2 linked regions of the Arabidopsis thaliana genome follow. The protein of the gene in region 2 interacts with the protein of the main gene of each other region in a pairwise test. Each region holds a gene or a part of one and is shown on either strand. Other genes may lie near its edges.

The links. Proteins that work in one complex are often made in the same cells at the same time.
Region 1: the proteins of CZF1 (region 2) and AT1G72570 interact in a two-hybrid assay, tested with the Arabidopsis thaliana proteins (one large-scale study listed by BioGRID).

The regions. Positions count from the first base shown.
Region 1 is NC_003070.9:27,329,678-27,334,917, reverse strand, and holds AT1G72570 (Integrase-type DNA-binding superfamily protein), read right to left. Parts: upstream 3,538-5,240; coding exon 3,450-3,537; intron 3,355-3,449; coding exon 2,757-3,354; intron 2,578-2,756; coding exon 2,495-2,577; intron 2,369-2,494; coding exon 2,360-2,368; intron 2,204-2,359; coding exon 2,115-2,203; intron 1,885-2,114; coding exon 1,811-1,884; intron 1,708-1,810; coding exon 1,657-1,707; intron 1,556-1,656; coding exon 1,479-1,555; intron 1,399-1,478; coding exon 1,220-1,398; downstream 1-1,219. Other genes in the region: AT1G72580 (uncharacterized protein), read left to right, coding at 216-512.
Region 2 is NC_003071.7:16,769,606-16,775,953, reverse strand, and holds CZF1 (zinc finger (CCCH-type) family protein), read right to left. Parts: upstream 3,958-6,348; 5' UTR 3,701-3,957; intron 3,426-3,700; 5' UTR 3,418-3,425; coding exon 1,624-3,417; 3' UTR 1,220-1,623; downstream 1-1,219. Other genes in the region: TBL28 (TRICHOME BIREFRINGENCE-LIKE 28), read right to left, coding at 67-443. UniProt on the Arabidopsis thaliana protein: Involved in salt stress response. May positively modulate plant tolerance to salt stress.

The DNA of each region.
Region 1 (5,240 bases), on a different chromosome or scaffold from region 2:
TTTCAATCCTCTTTACTCAACCACACTATATTAATTAGGTAATCTATAATTTATGGGGAACAAATCTTCTTATCTCAAATATTAATTGTTATTTTTATTAATATAAGCCACCCCACACTATAAATATGTTTGTTCTTCAACTCTCATTTACCACCATTATCATCATCTCTCTATCACGCACACATATTCTTCCTTTACCTTATTTTATATAAGAAATGGCTTCTTATGAATCACAAAGAGATGTCGCTGAATTGGCGACCCTTGAACAAACTAAAAAGAATGTGGAGGATGTCGAGGAGGTTCTAAAGAAACTCGAACAAACTTATTTGGGGAAGGAAAAAGTCACAGATGATACGCTTTTGAGTGACGAAGAAATGGAAAAGTTCAATCAGATGATGAACTGTGTAAAACTTCTGAACAATTGTTTGACAAAGATAGGACAGTCATTGCCGCTAAAAGAAGGAGAAAGAGAATTAGTTGAAGTTGAAGTTGATTTCAAGAATATACCCTAATTAAATGTTGAATCATAACAATAACGATGATGGTGATATATGTCATATGTTGGTTCTTTTTTTGTTTCTTGACGGCTAGATATTTGTCCGGCTTTGTAACCGAGCATATAAATAAAATAAAAATTATATAAAAAGTTTTTTTTTTTTTTTTAACATCTGATATTACTTTAGTTTATCTCAAGAAGTCCATAGAAACCTTCAAATTTCCATTGACACCAATTATTTTCACCATGGCATGAGGGAATTAGCTCGATACGGGTTCAAAATTAATCAAACTATCAAAGGCTTGGATGGATTTGATTATGAGTTAAATAAGTTTCACTTAAATTTGTAACGCTTTTCCTTAAAGTACGACCACGACAGAAGAAGGCACACAAATTGAGGAATCGCCTCTCCTCAACTTGGTGCAGTTAATATATACTAATTAATTAACACTTATGTTATGGATCCTGTAAATAATGAATGCATTAACTTTTTTCAATTAAAAATAAAAACGAAATTTAATCAAAGTATATCATAGAGAATAATATATAGTGGATTCTGATAACTTAATTTGCTAAAAAAGTTGTATATATGTAGACCGGCCTCAATTACTTAGGAATATATGTTTATTAAACCATAAATGATTAAACAGACTGGACGAACTTATTTCCTCAAACCAACCGTACGTGGGAATAGTCTCTCCGGCGAGGAGTTTACGGTGTCGGTTAGTGGCCGGCGCCAGAGCTGGTGGGAGAATGTTTGGCCTGGTCGCTATCAACAATCGTTGAGCTTGAACATATCCTCTTCACGTCATATCTATTTATATCGAAATTGGTTACAGCGTTTAGGCCTCTGAATTTAATTGCCGCGATATCGTACGCCTCCGCTGCTTCTTCTTGCGTGCCTTCATCATAGTTACAAAATGTGATATTTAATAATTCAAAGGCTATGATATAATTCCATATGTATAGAAGTGGTTCATACTAAATGTTCCAAGGTACAAGTCCTTGTTTCCAGCAACTCTTCCAATTCTGGCTTGCCACCTTCCATGTTGATGATGCCTACATGAGTTATACATGCATGATCATCATGATCTAATTCCATGCATGTACATGTACATATATAAATATATACAAGTTTCACATATATGTCCAAATCAAACCTTGTAACTCCTCTATACACGGAAGCTCCCCTCGAAAACCCGCTGCTATTCCTATGATTATGATATGTAATTACAAAGCGTTTGTTAATGGTTAAATGCATATGACTATATAAGGTCCATAAATATCATTACAAACCCACTGTTGAGTAATTACCTCCTCAACATGGCAACAAATTCTTGCCGATTCATGTTATTGAGTTCCTCGATCTCCTTTTCGTAATTACTCAACTGAATAAAAGAGCGTCAAAGGAACTGATATCACAAGCCAAATCTATGTAGTTCCATCAAAATCAAGTCAATAAAATCGGAAAATGATTACATTCAAGATCCAAAATATCGAAATAAGTATGGAAACTGTTATGTTGCATGTATATAAGTGTACATATATAAAACACACTTGCATGTAATAAAGGAGTTAGAAGTGGAGCTAGGTACGGGACCAGAAAGATCAAACTCACAGGGAAATTTAAGTGAGTGGTAGGACCCCAATACTTCAGAGCCGCTAAATCATATGCCCTCGCTGCTTTCTCCTCCTCATCATACCCTCCTATTTTAGTAAGTATTAATTCTACTATTAAATGTTTTTCTATAATTATCAGAAGGTAACAAGGTTAATTTTTACTTCGAAGGCCAAAAATAGGGCAACAAGAAATGAACGAGGGATCTCATGCATAATAGGTTGTAAAATAAAGTTCTGGCTTACCAAGATACACTGTGATTGATCAAGAAGCGAATTCGAAAGTACATACGAAGCCAAAATTAAATAATTGTTAGTAAGATTATTGATGCATGATAGCATATTGAATCGGAAAATTATTTTGTATTTGTTTTTTCTGACCTTGTCTTCCTCTCCTTGTCTGTCCCTCCTTCTTACAGCTATTATCCCATAAGTGAGCTTCATATCTCCCTGTCCATCTATGCCTGTATACACGCACAACATAAATATGTGTCGACACAATTATACATAATCTACAAAATAAAATGACAAATATACATAAGTAACATAATTGTGGCATTCACATTTTTCTTACGTGTAAGTTTGAGACATCATTTAAACCAAAACAAATGTTTGAGACGTCATTATTTAATAACGTACGTACCTTGTAACTCCACGATACTGAGAAGTTCTTTGTCCATAACTATCAACCGACTTCCGAGGAACGGATTCCTTTACCTGAGGTTTAACAACCAATCTCTTCCGCTTCTCATCTACCTTAACCGGTTCTTCGACCCGTGCGGATACATTCGATTCGTTGATCAAATCAGAACAAGCCCCATGGCTCAAAGCCAATGATAGCATTGAGCCATTGGTGTTATAACCAGTCTCTTCGTTACTAAAATGACTAATATTATTGCTCGTACCAGCCTCTTCAGTAACGTAATGACTCGAGAGTGGGAATGCTGGAGTGCCTTGCTCTAACCAAGATTTGAAAACCGAGACCGAACCGACCCTCTCAAAACCTCCATAATCATTGCTAAGGTTCGGATCTAGGTTCGGGTAATGTGGTGTAACTACGGTTTGGTCGTGGAGAAGGTAACCGGGTGGGTTTAACCTGTTAACCACAGTGGTGCAGTTGACATTGGTTTGGTTATGGTTTATAGGATACTCGGTTTGATGAGAGTTTGAGAGGAGATCTTCCACCTTTGGAACGTCTTCATCATGATGATGATGATCAAAGTTAATATCATATCTCCAAACTACACATAAAATAGAAATCAAATTAAGAATATTAATAGTGGCCACACCAACAACATATATATACCAGGGGGATGATGTGTGAAGAAGAGAGTACCATCGGAACCGTCATGCCTAAGTTCTTCTTCTTCACTATTGCAGATTCTCAAAGGAGGTGTCAATGAAAATCCCAACCATTTCTTCATCTCTCTCTCTCTCTCTAGCTGTCTTTCTCGCTCTTAGTTTATATGTATAGGGTTTCGTTTTATATGATTTGTAGTCTCATACGTGCGAATATACATTAATATTTTTCATAAGTCTAAAACATTTAATAAATTATATAATTAAAAAGGTGGAAAAAAGATTTGAGACAAAACAGGTGGCGGTGAAGTTTTGTCGTAAGCATGAAAGAAAGGAAGAGGAAGTTTCTCTCTCCCTCACTCTTTCACATTCTCTTTCACACACACTTGCATCTGACTTCTAGAGTTTTGTGCCCACTCTCCCTCGGATCTTTTCGATGTATACGTATATATATATGGGAGATACACATGACACACTACAATGAAAATTTTCGTTCTTTGGTATTTGATTAACTTTTCCGTAAAAAAAGCACACAGTAGCGCTTAAAAAAGTCAGTATTTTGTTTCTTTCGAAATATGTTAATTAGACAATAATACATTTCTTTTATTAATGTCTTTCTTTCGATATAATTTGGGATATTTTTTAATAAACTTAAAGAACATTACATAATTTAAAAGTAAACAAAATTTGTACTAAAATTAGTAGTATTGCAAGGAAATTTCTCCTTAGACGATAAAAATGTGTTTTTGATTGCTCATTCAATCGATCCGTTTGAAAATGATTCTAACTGTGATGGAGAAGCCTGAAATGATCTTGCTGTTTTCGCAGATTAGACAAAGATCAATCTAAAAGATAAAAGATATATATAGCTGGAGTGTTTGGCAATATGCTATCTAACTCATAAAATTTGCCTCAAGTGTGAGAAGCGGATAATGTGACGGTATAACCTTTGAAAACAGACACACAAAATATGATAGAACAAAAGAATAAGTGATCTCTCTTATTTGGTTGATTATATTGCATATGTTGCTTATAGATAGAAAATGAAATTGTGTTCCAAGCTGTTAACCAAGACTTAGTGGGTAGTTTGTCCATACTCGCCACCCACATAACGAAATGTCGTTCTACACAAAAAGCCACAATTGTTTTCTTTAACAACTGAAAAATGAATTTGTGATTTTATATCTTGCTACGGGCATCGGAAATATTCCAACCTCTTCTACGAGGTAATCGACAATGCCATTACAGAACAAACCTTTTCTTACAATTACCTAGTTTGTAGTATACAAAATAAAAATCGAGAGGTCTTAGCTACAGAAGTTGTCTCCATGAATAATTTCACAGTAAGTAGTTTAGTTATATGTATTAATGTGACAATTTGTTTTATAAAACATTAGATTAAGAAAGTGAAAAAACACCATTATATTTGCTAACTCACAAAACATTTATACATGTCTATCTTAATCTATCAGTATGCAACACCTAAGGCCTAAGGTGAGAGAGATTCAAGCCCATGGGCTGATTTACTGAATTCAGATGACGGTTAATTTTCAATTCGCTGGCAATAATATTTATAGTTCTCTGGGAAAATATTCTGCAAGCTAATAAAAATCTGTGTATAAAAAAAAAAAAACCCTACAGCTCCGTCTTCTCTCCAGTCTCACAATTTTCCTCATATTTATAAATCCGTAAGGGAAATTTTCTAGAAACTCACCAAAAAAAAGTATTCTTTGAATTCAAAGAGAAACCCAAACTAGGGTTTCCATAATCCCTTTTCTACTATATCTCCCACTCTCATAAATCCGATCGCTAAAATCGCCACGATCCT
Region 2 (6,348 bases):
ACAATTGTTAAATACCAATTCGATCAAACCGGATAAAAACAGGGCATCTTGAAACATTAGCTTTACTTTGGTAAAGAACAGTCTCTAGGTTGCCATCTCCAATTCTGAAACAAAGAATCTTTCCTTCCGTTTCTTAAACAAGTCACTTGCTCCGTCAAGAACTCACACTCTTCTTCTTTATACAATGGATATGTCTTGTTGTCGAAAACCCATTGACCGGTGAACAGATCACACTCATCCGGCGGCAACTCCACAAATGAACTAGAGAATGGGTTCGAAGATGTGAAGTCAGCAATGGAGGATTTGAGGTTGTCATTGTACATGAAGATCCCGAAGAAGAAAAGAGAGAAGAAGATCACGAAGATTGAGAGATAACTCTTCTTTCTTTGCTTCATGGTCTCTCCTGTTTCAAAAAATGAAACTCTTGTTCTTGAAGGTTGCATGATTTGATAAAGAAGGAAGAGAGACTTGGTCAACAGTTATGTAAGTGTCGGCATGTGGCTCAGAGAGATAACACGCACGAAGGAAAGAGAGATAATCATATAGGAGAAAAGAAGATGGGGATTATTAAAGATTGAGAACAGTGAGTTAAAGAGCCAAGCCTAATTGGTGGACACAGAATTTTCTATAATTTGCCCTTTACAATTTTAAATGTAAAACTCTCTCTTCACATTCATTCATAGACTTAACTAATTATGGAGTTTGGCAAAGAAAGAATAAAGTTAGTCGTTTCTTTTTAAATTGATTAATGAAAGTATGCAGCTTGTGATTATATTCCTAACTTTATTTTGAGGGTCGCACGACTTAAACCAGCGACTTTTTCCTCATCCATTTTAGAAGAATTCTATTCGATAGTTCAAAATTGAGTCTTGAAATTGTTTCGGGTATTTAGCATTAACACACATCGATAACACCGGAAAAGTAAAGATTTTATGCGACATTATCACATGGTATGGTATTTTTCTGTGAAATAAAAAGTAGACCACATGTTACATGCTTTTCTTAACTCTACTATTAACGATGCTACTCTACTGATCTTTTTTCCTTCGATAACCTGAAAGAAAGATAGTGCACTGACCGTTTCTACTAGAAACCAATTAGGTATGAGTTTTTACTTTTTAGTGTCCTACACGATAGAAATTATGGACAAAATTTGACTTTGGGTAGGTTTCTTTGTAATCAGGGGTCGTTAATTAAAATTTGTGGAAATCTTTTTGAATCTAGATAAGAAAAGATTTTCAATAAATAATAAGCTGCAAGTTGTATATGTGAGGAAAATAACAAGCCAAAAAAGCTCCCCAAAATCTCTTAGGCCCATTTTTTCTAAAGCACTTGAAATACGTAACCAATAAGATTAAGATATCACAACAATTACAAAGCTAATAAGATGGATCCTTCAAAGAACATTTGAACTCATGCATCAATTATTTGCTTTTAATCATTACATAGTGTCACGAAGGACAAGAGAATGACAAAGAAAAAAAGAACATAAAAAAACATATACTAGTAACCAAACTATGGGTCAAACACAAATCAAAGAATTATTGCCAGATTTGTTAGATTCTGTGTAGAGAGGCCCAGAAGACAAAAGCAATATAAATCCCACATCTTTCTTTCTGCTTCTTATGCCACAATCTGCTGCTCATGGTCTATATACATTTGCTCTGCCCACGACGGCAGCTTAAACTTGTCTCTACTCGCTGCACCATTCACCGTATTCCCAACCCTCTCATTCACTCTCTCTGGTGCATTCTCTTTCACCAGTGAGTTCACCCACGACACATCTGGCTCGTCACTGTAGTCTCTAGCAGGGCGTGACACACTGTTGTTGTTGTTTCCATGAATGCCGAAGGAGGCACTTCTCCTCAACTTGTTCAGCTCATCTCTTTGCATTCCCCACTCAAGCTTCCCATTTGGTGATCCCCAATCGGAGACATTAGAAGCTACTGGAGCTGGTTTGAAACTCAAGCTGCGTTTCGCAAACGCTGAGGATCTTGCATTCATCACTGCAGCTGCCATGGCTGCTGAAGATTCGAATCCATGAGGAGGAGGCTGCCTCACAGGTGAAGACGGATAGTGGTTCATCTGAGAATGCCTGCTTGGTGATTGAAGTTGCATCACAGAAGCTGAGTCATATGATCCGAAAGTCTCTTCGAGGTTGGATGGCTTGAGATCACCAAGTCTCCGGTTATCCAAACCGCGAAACCTAAGTTCCATCTCCATATCCATATCTCTAGCACTCAAAGTCGACTTCAATCTGCTACCATTAAGCTGCAACGGTGGTGGTGTAAGGCTATTAACTCTGTTCTGCCATAAACCACCATTTCTTGGAGACAAAGGAACACCATTAGCCATAGGAGAGTTCATTGGCGATGATCCCAGCGTCAAAGGAGACATAACAGACATCTCAGGAGACTGATTAGACGACCTTGGTGAAACCATTGCAGAACCAGTAGAAGCATTAACCGGTCTTAACTCATCCCGTCTATGAGCAAAGAAACAAACTCTCCTAGCACAACCAGTCTCATCTTTGCAAAGCCGTGTCCTATACTGCGCCGGGTGAAGCCAAGACTCGAAAACACCGTGCGCGTACTCACACGAATCTCCTTTAGGACAAGACCCTTTACGAAACTCGGGACAAGGCACACAAGTGTAAGGATACTTCCTAGGATCTCTCCTCCTTGCATTCTCACCAGGATGAACAAAAGGACATTCAGTCCAATCATGTGAATAAGCCCTAGAACATGGCTTAACCTTAAAGCTAAACATCCTAAAATCATCAGTTCCATAAACACCTTCGTTAATATCAGGAAGTGATGCATCAGCTGGATACTTAGTCACAACACTCTTCAGTTCCTCCTCCTCTTCTTCCATAACCGAACCATGAATCCCGGTCAGTAAAACCTCAACCGCCTTTCTACTCTGGTTAGGAACAAACCGAGAATCTTTAGCCAACAAATCAACCGGTTTGTTCCCATTAGCGTCAACACAATTAGGTGAAGCAGAAGCATCAAGCAAGATCTTGATGATCTCAACGATAGAAACAGAACAGCCAGAAACTGCACAGTGAAGAGCAGTGACTTTCTCGTCACTGCAAACTCTGTTCACATCGGATCTTCCTGTGGCAATTATGTAATTCAACACTTCCATGCTTCCATACATAGCAGCAACCATAAGTGGTGTTCTTTCTTCAAAACCCATCTTCTTAGACCCGACCCGTCTGCAATACCAAAACCCTGACTCATCAATCTCCACCGATGGATTCTCTTCGATCTCTCTCTTAAACGATGAAAGATCATCACAGGCGGCGAATTCGAGGAGACACGTGGCGGAAGCTCCGTCTTCTGATTTCTGCCTCATGAATTCGACTTCTGTTAGGGTTTTAGATGAGCAAAGGTTGCTCTTTGCACCGCACATATCTCTTCCTGTGATTCAAAAGTGAAAAACTTTTAGGAGAAAGCAACAAAGAATGAGAAAGAGCAACGCAAATTGAGTTCTTTCGATTCAAAGTTTCAATTTTTCATTTTCAAGATTCTTCTTTATACACAAAATCAATCCCCAATTTAAGCAAAGTAATGAATAATTACACGACCGTTTCGTCAAAATCAAGCCATTAAAACCATAAAGATTAAAGATTTAACCAAACCCAGAATCCTGAATGAAATAGGAAAAAACAGAGAGAGAAAGAATCAAGACATACCTAGAAAAGAAGATAACTTGGAGAAAAAGAGAGAAGTAAAGATTGAAACTTTGGAGGTTTTTGGGGAGAAGAAGTGGTTGGGGTTTTTGAAGAAGGATCAAATGAGAAAGGAGAGGCTCCTTTTAAAAGGAACTTGGTTTTTACGAAGAAGGAAAGAGGAAGGTACGCTCTTTCTTTCGTCTACCTTTCTCGGTCTTCTTCTTCCTTCTTTATATCATTTTTATTTTTTACTTATCTTTGTTTTGTTTTGTTTTTTGCTCTCTTTCTACATGGAAATGGTTTAGGTCAAAAGTCAAAACTGGGAAACTTTTAAAAAAGGTAAGGACGTCGTTGTTTTGCTGACTCTTATTCAATTGTTTTAGTGTATTTTTTTTGTCTTTTTTATAAAAAGAATATTATAATATCTATCTTCCTATCTCATTGATTTTTTCAATATGGCTTTTTAAAATGATCAAAAAGCAAAGTTCATTTGAAGGGAAATAAAACAATGCCCCCATTGTATCGACTTACATAAGAAAAAGTCTCATTCCGGATGTATTTATTGTTTCTAGATAACATCTTGTTTTTGGTTAAAGTTTCTAGATATAAGGATAATGTACCCATTTGGTTTATTTATAACCGAAACCATTGTTGGTTCTCTTTAGGACCTACTAAGTTCCTAATCAATTACTTTGTTTTAATTATACAAAGCAGAAAGAAAACTCAAAGGGAACTACTACCTTACCCATCCGGTAAACTCGTTTTAGGAGATCCATTTATACTCAAAAACCCTCATTAGAAAATAGCCCAAAATTTATATGTTGTTGATGTTACTATGCATTCTCTATATGGCTATAGATGTATGTGATATCAGATTATCTACATGCATTTAGCTGAATACATTACAGGAAATAGACTTACAATTACTAAATAGTTATGTATATCTATCTGGACAATTATAGGTCACATTTCAAAAGACATAATTTAAATTTTAACATCTGACCAAATCTACAGTTGTTTATATTTTACATCTGCATGCTGTTTTTCATATAAACGCATGGGTGCCCAAAACATGTATGGGCAAAGATCCTGAGATATTAAAAAATATTGTTTTTTTCCAAGTTCCAACAGGTCCTAAGGTATTAAAAACTATTTGTAACAAAATAAGATTAAAATAAAATTACTGTCAAAAATATTAAAAAGAAATTAAAAAAGAACATAATATTTTTTTTTTTCATCATCATCAAAAAAAAATTAAAAAAAAAAAAAAAAAAAAATATTATGTTCTTTTTCATCATCAAGAACATAATATATGAGGTTGAATAAATGGTAAATGACGTTGGGGATGTGTAAAAGACCCACCATCGATCAAATCGACCGACTTAGCAGGTAACCTCCACAAGCGTGTGAGTGTTTCAATACTCTTAACACGCGCTTTCATTATCACGTTGGCTACTCTTTTTTCTAAAGATCACTATAATTAACACACAACAATCTTAAATATATTTTACATGATCAATTAAAATATTTTTGGTTCGGTAGAACTACTATTCAAACAATACATACATACTTTAAAAGATTGGTACGAATCAAAATCTATTGGTAGTAAACAATTCGTAAATAGAGATCAACTTTATCTCAGTGTTCTTATTGATAAGCTTATCTTAATGGTCTTGTAGGTATAGTTGTAATGGAGTGATTAGGGTAAAGCGAGTGAGAAACACGGGCAAGGAGAAGTGCGTGGAGAAAGAGGGAAAGTGAGGCACGCCTTCTCTTCTTTGGTGTTTGGGTGGGCGACAGAGAATGTCTTCACTTGGCCGCCCGCTTACACTTTTTCCCCCATTTCCTTAATTGTTTGCTATCAAAAAATTAATGCAACACCTTTAACTTTTGCAAAAATATACTATAGTATATAGTATTAAATATTCACTTATTTTTCTCTCGTCACATCAAACATAATGGATTAGTCCGTGGATTTGATCATTTGACTTACTCCTCATTATTCTCTACTTTTCTTCGATTCTTCTATATATCTTCCGTGGAGTTTTCGTAGTCACAAATTTGCTATTTTGTGAACTCAATTCATACTACTCCACAATTAAAAAAAAACACAAATTGATTAAGAAATCTAAATCACTAAATTACAAGAAAGTGTACTTGTTGTTGTTTATATGAAAATATAAACATAAACATACACATAACCTGTATGTATGCATTTTAACAACCTAATCCTATATATGGTCAAACTCATAAGTACCCATCATAACTCATAATTACCTTAAAACAGGCTGATAGTTTTCAATCATAATCAGCATATAAATCATATACTACCAATTAAACTGATATGTGAATTCTAACACATCCTCTAACTATCTATAGATTATGTGTGTAATTTTTTTTCGTGACATCATGTTTACCAAAAGAAAAGTGTCATCATGTTTCTGGGTAAGTCGAGTCGTAGATTTGCTGAAGAATAAGACTATGCGACGCTCCTTGGGGTCAATTTTGGTTCTTTGTTTATATGGTCAACTTATTATTATAGTAACATTTTTATAGTGAAATAATTTTGTGTGTTTTGCCTCCAAAATATTTCCCAAAACTCATCAGCAAATTGCATCAGATTGTGGACCGAGTTATCGATATCATGGAAAACGAAAAAAACGGATCGG